Danio rerio: one gene and its partners. Each later gene encodes a partner of the first gene's protein in a complex. Links are inferred from orthologs where the notes say so. Each region holds a gene or a part of one and is shown on either strand. Other genes may lie near its edges.

What was found. The genes of interacting proteins can lie anywhere in the genome.
Region 2: the proteins of abl1 (region 1) and sh3bp1 are in contact, whole or in part, in a crystal structure (PDB 1ABO), measured with the Mus musculus proteins. The link is inferred for Danio rerio from reciprocal best matches to the Homo sapiens genes ABL1 and SH3BP1. Residues at the interface, in NP_033724.2 of Mus musculus: Tyr70, Phe72, Ser75, Gly76, Asp77, Thr79, Asn94, Glu98, Trp99, Trp110, Pro112, Asn114, Tyr115; in NP_001303613.1 of Mus musculus: Ala607, Pro608, Thr609, Met610, Pro611, Pro612, Pro613, Leu614, Pro615, Pro616.
Region 3: the proteins of abl1 (region 1) and crk are in contact, whole or in part, in an NMR structure (PDB 1JU5), measured with the Homo sapiens proteins. The link is inferred for Danio rerio from reciprocal best matches to the Homo sapiens genes ABL1 and CRK. Residues at the interface, in NP_005148.2 of Homo sapiens: Tyr70, Phe72, Asp77, Asn78, Thr79, Asn94, His95, Asn96, Gly97, Glu98, Trp99, Trp110, Pro112, Ser113, Asn114, Tyr115; in NP_058431.2 of Homo sapiens: Pro44, Asp46, Asn63, Gly66, Pro67, Arg68, Pro69, Pro70, Val71, Pro72, Pro73, Ser74, Pro75, Pro80, Gly81, Ser83, Pro84, Ser85.

The regions. Positions count from the first base shown.
Region 1 is NC_133180.1:78,511,605-78,517,330, forward strand, and holds the start of abl1 (tyrosine-protein kinase ABL1), read left to right. Parts: upstream 1-1,833; 5' UTR 1,834-2,627; coding exon 2,628-2,763; intron 2,764-5,726. Other genes in the region: exosc2 (exosome complex component RRP4), read left to right, coding at 52-180, 296-376. UniProt on the Homo sapiens protein: Non-receptor tyrosine-protein kinase that plays a role in many key processes linked to cell growth and survival such as cytoskeleton remodeling in response to extracellular stimuli, cell motility and adhesion, receptor endocytosis, autophagy, DNA damage response and apoptosis.
Region 2 is NC_133187.1:20,897,910-20,901,969, forward strand, and holds part of sh3bp1 (SH3 domain-binding protein 1), read left to right. Parts: coding exon 1-70; intron 71-152; coding exon 153-415; intron 416-489; coding exon 490-776; 3' UTR 777-4,060. UniProt on the Homo sapiens protein: GTPase activating protein (GAP) which specifically converts GTP-bound Rho-type GTPases including RAC1 and CDC42 in their inactive GDP-bound form.
Region 3 is NC_133190.1:27,220,720-27,225,161, forward strand, and holds the end of crk (adapter molecule crk), read left to right. Parts: intron 1-2,562; coding exon 2,563-2,700; 3' UTR 2,701-2,972; downstream 2,973-4,442. UniProt on the Homo sapiens protein: Involved in cell branching and adhesion mediated by BCAR1-CRK-RAPGEF1 signaling and activation of RAP1.

The DNA of each region.
Region 1 (5,726 bases):
CTTGTGCGCGTGTGTGTGTGTGTGTGTGTGTTTGTGTGTGCGTGCGCGCAGCCTGTGTCTCTGTCGGATCGTGAGGTGGTCTCTAGGCTCAGGAACTGTCTCCTGGCTCTGGCCAATCAGAAGGTGCTGCTGTTCGACACCAGTGTGCTGTACTGCTATGAGGCGTCACTGCAACACCAGGTCTCAACACACGTCTGTCTGTCTGTCTGTCTGTCGCTTTGACTGTCTGACAGTCTGTCTGTCTCTAAGCGTGTGTGTGCAGCTCTTCATTCTCAGTATCTTTGCTGTTCTCCAGATTAAAGACATCCTGAAGCCGGAGATCATGGAGGAGATTGTTCTGGAAACACGGCAGCGTCTGATGGAGCATGAAGGCTGAAACACCGCTCTATATATAATGCATATAACACACACCACATTATTCATATTTTGTAATAAATTTGTTATAACACCCAAAGCGTGTGTGTGCGTGTGCGTGTGTGTGTGTGTGTGTGTGTGTGTGTGTGTGTGTGTGTGTGTGTGTGTGTGTGTGTGTGTGTGTGTGTGTGTGTGTGTTGATCATTCTCTCAACCTGAAGAGTGCTGGAGAAACACACATTGACTTTCATCGTCTTTATTCCTGCTATTGAAGGCAGCGGCAGCATTCTTCAGAGTATCTTATTTTGTATTCGACAGAAGAAACCCATAGGTGTTTAGAAGCAGAGCAAATGAGGATTAGGGTGGAACGGTGGCTCAGTGGTGTCGCACTGTGTGCTCACAGCAAGAAGGTCTCTGGTTTGAGTCTCGGCTGGGTCAGTTGGTGTTTCTGTGTGGAGTTTGCATGTTCTCCCCGTGTTGGTGAGGGTTTCCTCCGGGTGCTCCGGTTTCCCCCACAGTCCAAACACATGCGCTATAGGGGAACTGATCAACTACACTGGCTGTAGTGTATGAGTGTGTGTGTGTGAATGAGTGTGTATGGGTGTTTCCCAGCCCTGGGTTGCAACTGAAAGGGCATCCGCTGTGTAAAACACATGCTGGAATAGTTGGTGATTCATTTCACTATGGCGACCTCTGATATATAAGGGACTAAGATGAATTAAAATGAAAGTAGATCTCTATTTCTGTGTGAACTGACCCCTTAAGTGTGTTTCTGACGCTGCTCTGTGTGTTTATTCCACCAGGGGGCTTCAGTGATCACACAACTACAACTATAGAGCAACGCTTCTGCAACCTTCAGCAGTAATGCACTTATTATAAAGAGCAGATTTATTTAATTGCTGTAAATTATAACCGTATAATTATGTATTTATGTGCTGACATTATGATGTGCTTTAATCAATGATGGTTGTTTTTAAATGTGCTATGTAAATACAATCGAATTTAATATAGTTGTATAATAATATATACTAATAGAATAAATATTATTGATATTTAAGACAGTAAAACTCAACGCTGTTGCATCAAATTAAAGCTATTTTGGAGTTTGTTGAAGTATTTTTGTATTAATAGATTATTGAAATAAATATCAATCAGGTATAATTTAGTATGATTCAGAATGATGTTATATTAATATATAATATTATTTAATAATATTGTTGAATTAGAGAATCATAAGTCATATACACTTTAAGTTTGAAGTCTTTAATTAGGAATGTTAAAGAGAGCATTAATCTTACAGTTTTGTATAATATATGTTTTCTGCGTACAGGAACCGCAGCGTTTTTATTTTTAACTGTTTATTATTATTTATTCATATTAGAGACAACAACAATAGGTAAACACTTCTTACAAGGCGTTCACATCAAAACAAAATACAAGTTTTCGCTTGTTGGCGGAAGAGCGCGGCGCGTGACGTCACGGGCGCAGCTCGCGTGCGCGAACATGGCGGTTCCTGCGACGACGAACGACGCGAAGAAAAGTGCTGGAAGTTATGAAATATTACTAAAACATGACGAGAACCAGCATTAAAACACTGCGGGGGAACCGAGCGGGTGTCCGGTGAGCAGAAGAGCCCGACAGCGGAGACACGCGGCGGGTAGAGGAGCGTTTAAATCCGCCTCAGAGAGAGAGAAGTGCACGCGGAAGTGACGAGACTTTACCAACTAACCAGAACTCAACACCACAGCCAAAGGCAAGAGTTAAATCTGCACAGAAGAGCCTGGAGGGCTTCAGTGAGATCCACACACTTTATTCATGACTTTAATGAGCATCAGGAGATACAAACACGGTCTCATCTGCTTACTGAATGACACCACGATCACACCAAACGCGTTTACTGCACTCCCAGACTCTTCCAGTGGCTAATAATTATCATAATAACTCTAATAATGATGATCATTGAGAGTTTCACGCACACCAGAGCGTCTGAGTTCATCACTGACCCCTCTGATGTGCTGATATCTTCTCCTTTGAGAGTTTGATGTTGACGTGACGTCAGAATGATTGACAGCTCGTCAGCAGTGATGTTCATGCATTAATGCTGACTCTGTGAATGAGGATGACTCCTTCATACATCCCACAGTGCCTTAGAAACACTTCTAACCTCTAGAAGGCGGGGATCTGATCTGCGGTCAGGCTGGCACATGCATGACTGGCACAGGGGAGTGTGTGTTTTCAGGCTCCTCCAGCTGATCTCCTGCGCTGTGTGTTCTTATGGGGCAGCAGCCAGGAAAGTTAGTGGGTGAGCAGAGGAGACCGAGCCTGCCGGCACTGCCCTTCATCAAGGCCGCGGGGAGGAGAGAGACGCCCCGGCACGGAGCACCGCACTGCAATGTGTTCACGGTCCACGGTCAGTGCCAGATCCAGCACACCACATTCACTCATCACTCAAGGGGGCAGTTCACTCACGAATGATCAGTAGGGAACATTTAGGATCAGGGGGAGGCCAAGCCAGCCTGAGATCCCCGAGGCTCTGCAGTGGTTGTGGAAATTATAAATTGAACCAAAGCAATTATAATTGGGTTAAGATTGGCTATGACAATTCTGGAAAACCAGCAGAGCCTTGGAATTAATAATACAATTAATAACATTGAGGCCTTGATCACACTGAATGCACTTTTAATGGTGCGAGGTGCCTTTTTTGAATGGTTATAAATTGGTTGTGAGTGTTTGTGCACTGCTTAGGGGCCGTTCACACAGAATGCATTTTCTTTCTGTATAGTGCACTACTATACTATTGTTTTTCAATGTAAACACACGCTTGACGTACGTGTCTGACTGCTACGTTGCATCTTTTGAAGCATCTCGTTTTTTTAAACGCCATGTCTGGTTGAGAGGTCTTCGACTTTCACACACAGCACAGTCAGTTCCACAGCAGTGGACCAATCAGAAGAGTGCTTGGGTGTTGCAAGCTTCAGTTTATAGTAGAAAGTTGGCATGATAACTCTTATTTAGCTTTATGGCAGAGGAGGCGCTCATTCTGGCTGTGTCCAGATTAGGCATGGGACGATATCCGTGTTCAATGTGTACCGTGGTTTTGAAAAGTCAGGGTTTTAAATTCGTCAAAATTTAAAAGATAAATATTTTAAAGATTTTTTATTTACATTTTTTTTTAGGACAACAGTATCTCCAGCAGTAAAGATCTCCAAAGACACTGTTTTAAATAGTAAAGAAATCAGTGCTTTTGAAACTAATGAAGACAGCAGAAGTCAATAATTCACGTTTACTGCTCCAAAATACTTGAAATGTTTCTCAAATTGAAATAAATTGTGTACAAAGAGGAAAAAAGTTTTCTATCCCGACTTTTAAAAAGAATATATTTTAGATAGGAGTTTCAAAATTAATTGTTTCTTCAGTCCACCACGAAGCAAATGCAGACAATTCAGAACATCAGAAAGATCCAGCTAACTCTATCAAGCCTCTTCAGCTGCTCCAGAACGCAGCAGCACGAGTGGTCTTTAATGAAGCTAAAAGAGCACATGTCACTCCGCTGCTCATCCGTTTGCACTGGCTGCCAGTTGCTGCTCGCATCAAATTCAAAGCTCTGATGTTTGCTTACAAAGCGACTTCTGGCTTTGCTCCTTCTTATCTGCTCTCACTTCTGCAGATGTATGTGCCCTCCAGAAACTTGCGTTCTGTGAATGAACGTCGCCTCGTGGTTCCATCCCAAAGAGGGAAGACATCACTTTCCCGAACTCTCACGCTCAATTTGCCCAGTTGGTGGAATGAACTCCCTAACTGCATCAGAACAGCAGAGTCACTCGCTGTCTTCAAAAAACCACTAAAAACTCAACTATTTAGCCTTCACTTCCCTTCCTAATCTGCAAGTGCCTCTCTGGATATAACGCTAACTGTACTAAAAAATAAATAATAATAATAATAATAAATACTAATGCTTTCCTTCTTATACTTTACAGACCTGAAACTTGCCTACAGCACTTATTCATTGTTGCTCTTATAGTTGTGTAAATTGCTTCCTTGTCCTCATTTGTAAGTCTCTTTGAATAAAAGCGTCTGCTAAATGTAAATGTAAAATTTGGTATCGGTTGAGTAATAATCATAACCGCTTACTATATACTGATGTCATTTATCTCATTTGCACTATGTTTTGTAGCTTACTATGGCGAGGGAGGCGAGCGCGAGTATTTACTACGCTCCAACTACTTAAAAACGCAGAAACTGTGCACAAATTTGACTGCGTGTGTGTTTGCTGGACAGTTTCCCTGACACTTACAGCAGAAGCTCCATTTCACTGCCATTGAGAGAATGAAAGTAAACTCCATTTCTCTCTCTCTCTCTCTCTCTCTCTCTCTCTCACTCTCTCTCTCTCTCTCTCTCTCTCTCTCTCTCACTCTCTCTCTCTCTCTCTCACTCTCTGTCTCTCTCTCTCACTCTCTCTCTCTCTCTCTCTCTCTCTCTCTCTCTCTCTCTCACTCTCTCTCTCTCTCTCTCACTCTCTCTCTCTCTCTCTCACTCTCTCTCTCTCTCTCTCTCTCTCTCTCTCTCTCTCTCTCACTGTGGCCCATTTGACCTGCTGGCGTGACTTTTCCTCTCCTCCTGGCTGTTACAGTGATACCTCTGTATACAGACATGAGCGCGTGTCTGCAGAGTTTTCTCCACCGTGTCTATGATGGATCAGCTGTGATCGCAGCCAATCGCAGCCCTTTCTGTTGAGCGCATGACCAATCAAATGAGTGTAAGAAAGAACTCGCTAGACAAGGTTCAGATCGCGAGCTGGATATTTATATTTGTTTATTTGCTATAAATGCTCGTGTTGTTTAAAGGTACAGTTTATATATCTGACTGTTAGTATTAAAGGACACAATTGCATTACAAATAGTATATAAATATATTTATACATTTTAATACAAGAAGTGTAGGTTCACAGCTCTTATCTCCATACTGTGATATTACACAACTTTGATGTGCTGACCCCCCCAACTTTAATCAGGAGGTGAACACAATACCTCATTCTCCATCTGAAGCTCCTTTACGAGACTCCACACTTGTAAACACTTGCTCCATCGGGCTCGCGGGGCTCTCACCTCACCCACACTCATTACCGCTACCAAGTTGTCCAGTCACAGAGCTTGCGCTATGTATCACTGCGATGTGTAGTTAAATCTTTCGAGAGGTCAGCATCGGAAAAAGGTCCTAAATTGGACATTGATTTCTGCTGGAGATACTGTTGTCCTATATAACTTAAAACAAAATGTAAAGGAATCGTACACACACCTCAGGAACGGTATTGCAGACAATCTTTGCGGTTTTAAAACCTCGACTTTTTCAAACCGTGGTATACCGTGAACATGG
Region 2 (4,060 bases), on another chromosome or scaffold:
CTCTTTCTGACAGCATCTTACCTTCTCCTCCTTTTTCCTCCGGTCGACCATCCATATCAAAAACTGACAGGTAATTAAATCTCCTTTGTAGTTTCTAAGATGAAACCTCTCTCCTTGAATGAGACTCACCGAAATCTTATCTTTTATTTTAGCTCAGCCTCCTCTGATGACTTCGGGGTGACAATAGTTGTTAAATCAGCTCCTGTGAACCGCGACGCTGTTGTGTGGGACAACGATTCTGATCCAACCGATCAGCCACTGACACAGGATCACATGCCCACAGCACTTCCTCGTTACACTCCGGTACTCACTCCGAGCCAATCACAGGTTATGCCACAGATCTCCTGCATATCCGAGCCAACTCAGGATCTGCCCACCCAGGAGCCCACATTGAAGATCGCTGGTCCTTATAAACGTAAGTCTACAGTTATAAAAGCTTTTGCTTTAAGGTCTAGTAGGAGAAACTAAAATTCCAGTTGATTTCTGCAGCAAGGAGGTCATTCATCCAACAAAAGGCACCAAACTACACCAAAGGCCTTCTTGTAAGCCCAGCAATGTCATTCCCAACAGCCCAGACAAAGTTGCCTCCTGTTCCATTGCCTAGAGGCTCAGAAATAAAACCACCACTTTCACCCAAGCCAGAAACCATGTTAGTACCACTGCCTACATTACCTGAAGGAGGACCACCAAAGAAACCTCAAGGCAGAAGACCCAAAGTTCCTCCTCCACAACCACCGCAAGCATTGAACAAGCAGCTCTCATCTTCTGCTCAGTGAAGCCCAAAGGATACTTCATTTCTTTATCTATGAAGAAAATGTAAGTTAGCATAAGTGTGCAGTAGCATGCACAGCCTTTCACAATTACTCTGTGTGACAGTGTGCACAAACACAGACACTTAACACATGTGCAAGAAAAAGATTCATGTCAGTGTCTCCTAGTGTGATTTATGCCCAGTTAAAAAGAGATTCTGTAGCCAGATTTTGACGCCGTACATTTGGCATCAGGCATGTGTGACTCTTGGGATTGAGTTCAGCACAACACACCTGTAAATTATGGGTGCTTCTCAATGTCTCTACTTATTTTCTCGTTCCTCTGTCCTACGACAGCAAACACCGATCAAGTTCAGCCATCTTGTAGCTATCTTAATTCTCTAAATGCACATTATGATGTCATGAGAAAGGATTCTTTGCGGATGTTTTTATTGACTAAACATGACCCAAGTTATATTAAACCAATTGGCTTGACTATGTCTCCCAGTTACGTTTCACATTTTCTACAATGTAATGTACTTTTCAGCACAAATTAAAATCAGTTAATAACTTATATTAATTATTCATTATTAAAGTCTGAAAGTTGATGCACTTCCAACTGAAATGGAATTTTAAGTAGGGGGCGGGGCTTTCTTTTTGCGCATTATTGCCTCATCGCAAACACAATGAATGTTGTGGCTAAAGCCGCCAAACTGACGTCGACAGAGAAGGACTATCTCTCCAAACTTGAAAGCAGGTGGTCAGACTTTGATTGAAGATTAACAAAACAACCTTTTTTTTTTTGTAGATTAACTTGCACTGTTAAATTGCTCACCTTAAGAATCTATTTTGATTTCATACATTTTAATTTATATAATTGATTTTAGTAATAACTGGCAAAATTAAATAAAAAAAACAAATGTGGGGTTTTGTGGATGTTGAAACCAGTACAATATAAATGATGATTTTTAATATTCAAGAGTCCTGACTTGAAACCAAAATCAGGGTTGTAGAGGATTCATTAAATGAGGATGCCTTGAAATGATGCCAAAAGTCAGGAGACATTACATCACATGATTCAGTTACTCTATCCTCGCATCTTTTTCTTAGCTCCACCCCTAAGAAATGATGTAAGACACAAGGCAAGGAAATGAGGATATACAAATAAGATTTGCGAAGCACCCTATGTTTGAGAAGAGATGGGCTAACCTCTTTACCTATTCCAAATGTTAAATATATCGCCCTTCAAAGGGCAATTTGAAGTGAAAGTCAATATGGCTACCGTATTAAAGTGTCATTCCAAACCAATGTGCTAAAACTGGCCACTTTAAAGGGCCTTAAGGCATTAAGGATTTCAAAGGGTACAACTGATGGACACTTATAATCCTTTGCTCAGGGAAGATGTTTGGTGTCACACATTGCTTTCTGTTCGGATGGGCTCATCTCTATGCTTTAATCCTTTCGACGCTGTCCCTCTGGAGTGTTAATGCATTGAAGGCACAAAGGCATAGGGATGAACCCTTCCGAATGTAATGCAGTAACTGTATAGAACAGGAGTCAAACTCAGTTCCCGGAGGGCTGCAGCTTTGCACAGTTTTGTTCTAACCCTAATTAAACACACCACATTAAAACTAATTGAGTCATTCAATCTTGTTTGAAACCTCCAGGTAAGTGTGTTGAAGCAAGGGTGGAACTAAACTGTGCAGGGCAGCAGCAGTAGTAGCCCTCCAGTATCTGGGTTGCTATATATATTCTCAATTTCGGTTCTGGAGGTCCGGTGTCCTGCAGATTTTAGTTCCAACCCCAATCTGACACACCTGGGCTAGCTAATCAAGCTCTTATGCCGCAGTCACACTAGAGTTTGAGCTTGCGGAATTCTGTCGTACGGCGCTGCAAAAAGGGGCGGGATTAAACAAGATGTTTAGACATTTAAAAAAGCGAACGATTGATTCATATTTTAAATTTCTGTCCAGAGAAATCATGTTTTGATCATCGATTGGCCTCATGCAGTCAGGTTATGTGATTTCGCAGGACAGAGTTCAACAAGCTTGAACTTTGCAATGCAGCGAACTGTGAAACTTTCCGCACTATGATCTGACACATTCGCATGCTTATGATTGGAAGACTATGTGGAGAAAAGTCTAGTTTGACCGCAGCTTCACTATATGCTTTCTAGAAACATCCTTGCAGGTGTGTTGAGGCAAGTTGGAGCTGAAATCTGTAGGACACCGGAACTACAGGACTGAGTTTGAGAAGTCCTGCCATAGGGTGTCATGGTGGTTTGTAATCAGGTTCTGTGACATTGACCAAAAGGAACAAAGAAGGTTTTTCATACACCACTTTCAGACTCGGTGAAAAGAGATAATGCTGCTATCTGGAAGCACAACCCTTCACTCTCCATTGCTTGTTTTCAGAAGTTATTCTACATTCACATTATCAGCAATAATTTGCCGAGATGCAATGTGTTATCTGATTCTGACATTTCATTTTCATGACAGAACAAGAATTTTGTAATCAGAACCACAAAATCTGACACAATTGTAACTTAGTAGGTCCTACAATTCAATTAAAAATCACTTCATTGTTCCATATAGTATGACTATCTATATTTTAAATCAGGGGTGTCCACACTCAGTTCTAGAGGGCCATTGTCCTGCAGAGTTCAGTTCCAACCCCAATCAGACACACCTGGGCTAGCTAATCAAGCTCTTTTCTAGAAACATCCATGCAGGTGTGTTGAGGCAAGTTGGAGCTAAAATCTGCAGGACACCGGCCCTCCGGGACTGAATTTGGACACCCCTTGTGTAAATGGAATTCTGACATACTAAATCCCCCATGTTGTCCTTATCACGTGATCACTTATTGTACCTGTGATTCACAATACTTTACAGCTCCTCTCTCAAATGTGCACTTTAGAATCTCTTTGGAGGAAATAGGTCTCCCATGTCTAGTAGTAGATGTACTACTCATCTGATGTTTTTCGATGCTATGCATTCGGACATACTAATAGGCTTTCATGCTGATTTTCCACATATTAGGAAATTTAGAGCACAAAACAAAATTACAGTAGTCTGAACGTAGCATTACACATCCTGAAAAGTGAAGCCAAAATATTCTGATCCCTCTAGTGGCTGGCTGCATTATAAATCATTCCCGTTCTAGTGTACATATAAACACAGAAGTATACTTTGGATCTGAGTCTTGGAAAGTGGAGTGGAAAAAGCACTGGTTTGTTATGACATCTAACTCTTTGTACTGCTTGTCCATATGCACATGTTTTAATTCACTTCTGTTTAAAAGTTTGAGGTTTG
Region 3 (4,442 bases), on another chromosome or scaffold:
CAATGTTTGCTTCAAAAAAGCACATTAATGTGTTATAAGTCATTCATACTGCTCAGTGGGTTATTTAATATTTTCTGAAGCAAAGTGTTAAGTTTTTGAAAGAAAAAAAATGCTTATTTAAAAGATTATAAGCTCATATAAACTGGAGCTGCACAATTATTTAAACACAATGTTCATGCACGTCGTTTTGTGAGTAAAAGCCAGCTCTGTGGTCAGTAGTATATCTCCAGCTTTCAAATGGAGCACCATTTACTAGTTACTCATAGTTCATGATCTGTTTGGTAAATGCAGCTACATCTAAAATCAAATAAAGATACCACATTTAACATGTTTTAACTTCCAATTTGTCTTTGAGATAATGTGGCTATTTCTGTTCAATAACTTTGTGTTCACACCAAAGGCGCAAGAGCATCAGAGTTCTCTCTGGCTTTCACAGTTCCAGCGGCGAGAGCGTCAAAAATCGATACATTAACCCCGTATTTAAAGGAGCCGTTGCAGCATATCAGCAAATTAGTTACGTTCCCACATAAAAATGTGTATTTTAGTAAGAAAATGTTGCGCAGCTTTTTAGTAAATTCATTTAACTACAGAAGATCCAGTTGTTGTATGTGCAGTGGCTTTCCTCCACTTATCCAATATGTGTCCAAATGTCTGAAATATTCTGAAGCAGCAGTACGGTTTTGTACTGTCGTTAGTTAGCATGCATTTCCCGTACGAAATAAAATAAAATTAATTAATGCACATCAGTAACTTTAAAAAAAAAAATTTGTATTTAAGTCCCTGTAAAAAAAACATTGCAACTGCAATACTAAAACCCTTGGGAACAACTGTGGTCGGAATCAAAGTTTACAGGACTGTGTTCTCTGGACTCATCTCAAGCGGTGAACTTCTACATTCTGATTGCTTGCCCTCGAACCGTGTCATAGCTTATTGCAGTAAAGTTGACTTGATTTAAACATTCCTCGACGTCAACGAAAACACGCTGCTCCTCTATGCTTATCGCCACCAGCTCTCATTGAAAGTGAATGACCTCGGGCTACTTTGATGCTCTCCCAGCTTTCGGTGTAAATGCACAGTAAAGCATGCATAAGATTTCGTTGTATTCTTGCATTTTTATGTACTTCATTATCAGAAAAATTACAACTCAATTACACCACATTGTTGTAGCTGTGTGTTTTCAAAGAAAAAATGTCAAGGACATTGAATCTTTCAATGAATCAATCAATCGTAACATTGAATCAATTTTTTTGAGTTTTTTCTTTAAATCTCCTATTTATTCTGCAACCGCTTTATGCCGCCTTTCCACTGCACACGACCTGTGACAGACCGGAAGTCAATCATTTCCAATGGAGAGTAGCCCAGAGCTGCATGGCGTTTCAATCATCTTCGTATGCGACCGGCCGACCGGATGTGATGAATTCCAGTGTTGTCCAAGCAGGTTCGAGTGCGCAAGATGAGAAATACTAGTTTTTTTCATTTATTCAAAATTTTTAGCGGTCTATGATTTTCTAGTATTCATTCATTCAACCATGGTGAACGCACGGAAAATAAAAACGCTTTTTCAGACACTGCGAGAACAGCTTCTCTCTCATGGTGCATGACAAAACAGAAAATTCTGTGCGACTGCCACAAGGGGGCATATTCCGACAGTCATGTCCAAATGTCTTGTGCAGTGGAAAGGCGACTTTAGGGATTCAATTGGGTTTCTTCTTTAACATTTTTAATTTCCACACGAGAGCACCCTCTGGCCTTGGAATGGAGATTTACTACTGATCACAGAACAGAGCTTCCCTGACAACATCTGTATAACAGCTGCAGCTTTTGCTAAATCACAGTTTGTAGCAGAAGCTAAAGTAACAAATGATGCCTATGAGTGATGTTGCGGTCACACTAGAGTTTGTGTGTGCGAGATTCTGTTCTACGGTGCTGCGAAAAGGGGCGAGATTAAATAAGATAATTAGACATTTAAAAAAGCAAGTTATTGGTCCTTGTTTTGATCTTCAATTGCTCTTACGCAGTCATGTGATGCGATTTCGCAGGTCAGAGTTCACCAAGCTTGAACTTTCCAACACATAGAACTGCGAATCTTGTCGCACAAGCTTGTGTTTCTGGTCTGATGCATTCGCGTACGTATGAACGGAAGTCTATGGGGAGAAAAGTGCAGTGTGACCGCAGCTTTAGCTCTGAATTGTTTTGTTGACCTATCAGAAGTCAATTATAAGTTATAGACTTTAAAATATGTTCATTTTTCTTACGAAAACATGCTAATTATCTTCAGAATGTATTCATTAATCCACAATTAATATAGATTACTTTAATCAAACATTTGGGTTTGGAGCTTCAAAAACTAGTTTATAATTTGATACAATGATCTGCTTCATCTGAAATGCAAAAAGCATATCTAAAAGTACATTTTGGAATAATTGTTTTAATTGTAAACTGTTACTTTAACATTTTATAAAAACATTTATAGTATAGGCGCCTCCTAGTGGAACTAGGTTTTCTAAAGTTTGCTATTTTGTGCATCATACTAACAAACGCTTTTGTTGTTGGATTTTTTAGGTCGGCGACATGGTAAAGGTGACCAAGATCAATGTAAACGGGCAGTGGGAGGGTGAGTGCAAGGGAAAGCATGGCCATTTTCCCTTTACCCACGTCCGCTTGCTGGACCAGCACAATCCAGAGGACGAACTAAGCTGAGAGAGCAGACTGTCTTACCTAGCAGCCCTTAGATGTACACTCACACACATACACACACACACATACACACACTCCGGCTCCTCACACATCCTCACTACTGCCCTTTACCTGTCCGCCTCATCATTACCTTGTGCCATTGTGTCTCATGCCAATGTACACAATTCCCTTGTTAGGTTTTATGCAATAATTAAAGATATTTACCAAGTAAACACTAAATTTCACATACAACACCATACACTACAGAGAGAGGAGCATTAGTGTGGGGCTTCTTGTGAACTGAGAAAAGAAGATGAAGAAGCCTACGTGGACTTAAAACATGAGCGGTTTTTGGTGTCTTAACAAGGGACTGTTCCTTTGCTTCTTTGAATGCGGTAGCAAACACTACTTGGTGTCCTAGAACACAGCGGCTTTCACACTACAAACTACATGAAAATATCCAGAACAAATGAGCTTTGAATAGTTTTTAGTCTTTTTGATTAGCTTGGCGCCACCCAACGGTGTCATGAAGCGGTTCCTACTAGGGCGGTACACTATATATGAAAGATGGAGAAGCCCGAACCCTCACCGCCTTGTTTTATTTATGCACATGTGTAATGTATACAAGATGCGTCATTATTCACTACCGCTAAGTAACTTTTGTTTTACTACATTTTCATTATATAATATCAGGAAACGCTACTTGCTCCTTTTACCATTATTGCTGTACTTGGAAGTATTACACTAAATGAGAATCTGTTGAATGTGTAACCCTAATTTCTAATGCTAGACTCAATTCCTCAACATACGGTAGACTCATTTGATTTTTGTTGTTGTTTCTAAATAAGAATCCAATATTGTGATATTTACACTCAAAATAGCCAATGTGTTTTTGCCAAAACTTCCCTTTGCCAAGGTTGAAAATACAAGTGGTGGTTGTAGTGAATCTCTCATATAGAGTGGTCCAAAACTATGTTATGATCTTTCTAAATCAACCCATTATTAATATAATAATGTGGTAGGATTTTATAAAGTGTCACATTAACCTGACCTAATGCCTCAAATGTGTTTTGCTCAATTGATTTTGCACATATGAGTAGCCTTTCTCTACGATTGGTATATGTATTGATTTTATTTTTAAACATCAGTCTCCATCATGCCTATGTTATCTGTCTCAATGCTAGAAATGTAATGTATTTTCACATTTAATCCCCAAATAAGACATTGCTATCCTAATGGCCTGCCTTAATTGCAGATTGTTGTCTATGACCAAATCAGCAATGTCTTTAGCCTAATTAGTTAAATGCAAAACGTGGGGGAAGGGAGTGGAGAATGTTTTGTTTTGGTCTTGCAAAATATTTTAATTGTATTTTTTACCCTAATTCCATTACTATTAAACAACATATTCAGAGATAGAAGCCGAATGTCTGAACAAATGATTACTCTAATAGACAGGCTGCCAGAACAACACTATCAAATCTTAATGCTTTTACCCTTTACCTTTATTTGTTGTTACTTTTAAAAGGAAAAAAGTTGACTAACTTTGTTTGGTAACAATGACAATCACCTGGAAACTCTTCTGTTTTGTCATACCTTAATGTTAGAAAGCTATGTCGTGTATGTGTGTAGGTTAGCTGTATGTTGTCAAGATGTGACAGCAAGCCGGCCATGTTATGTAATTGTCACAAGTCGTAATTATGAAGGACTTTGATGTACATGATCTGTCTTCTTAATTGTTTGTTTGAGTCAGGAATGACCTTGATGAA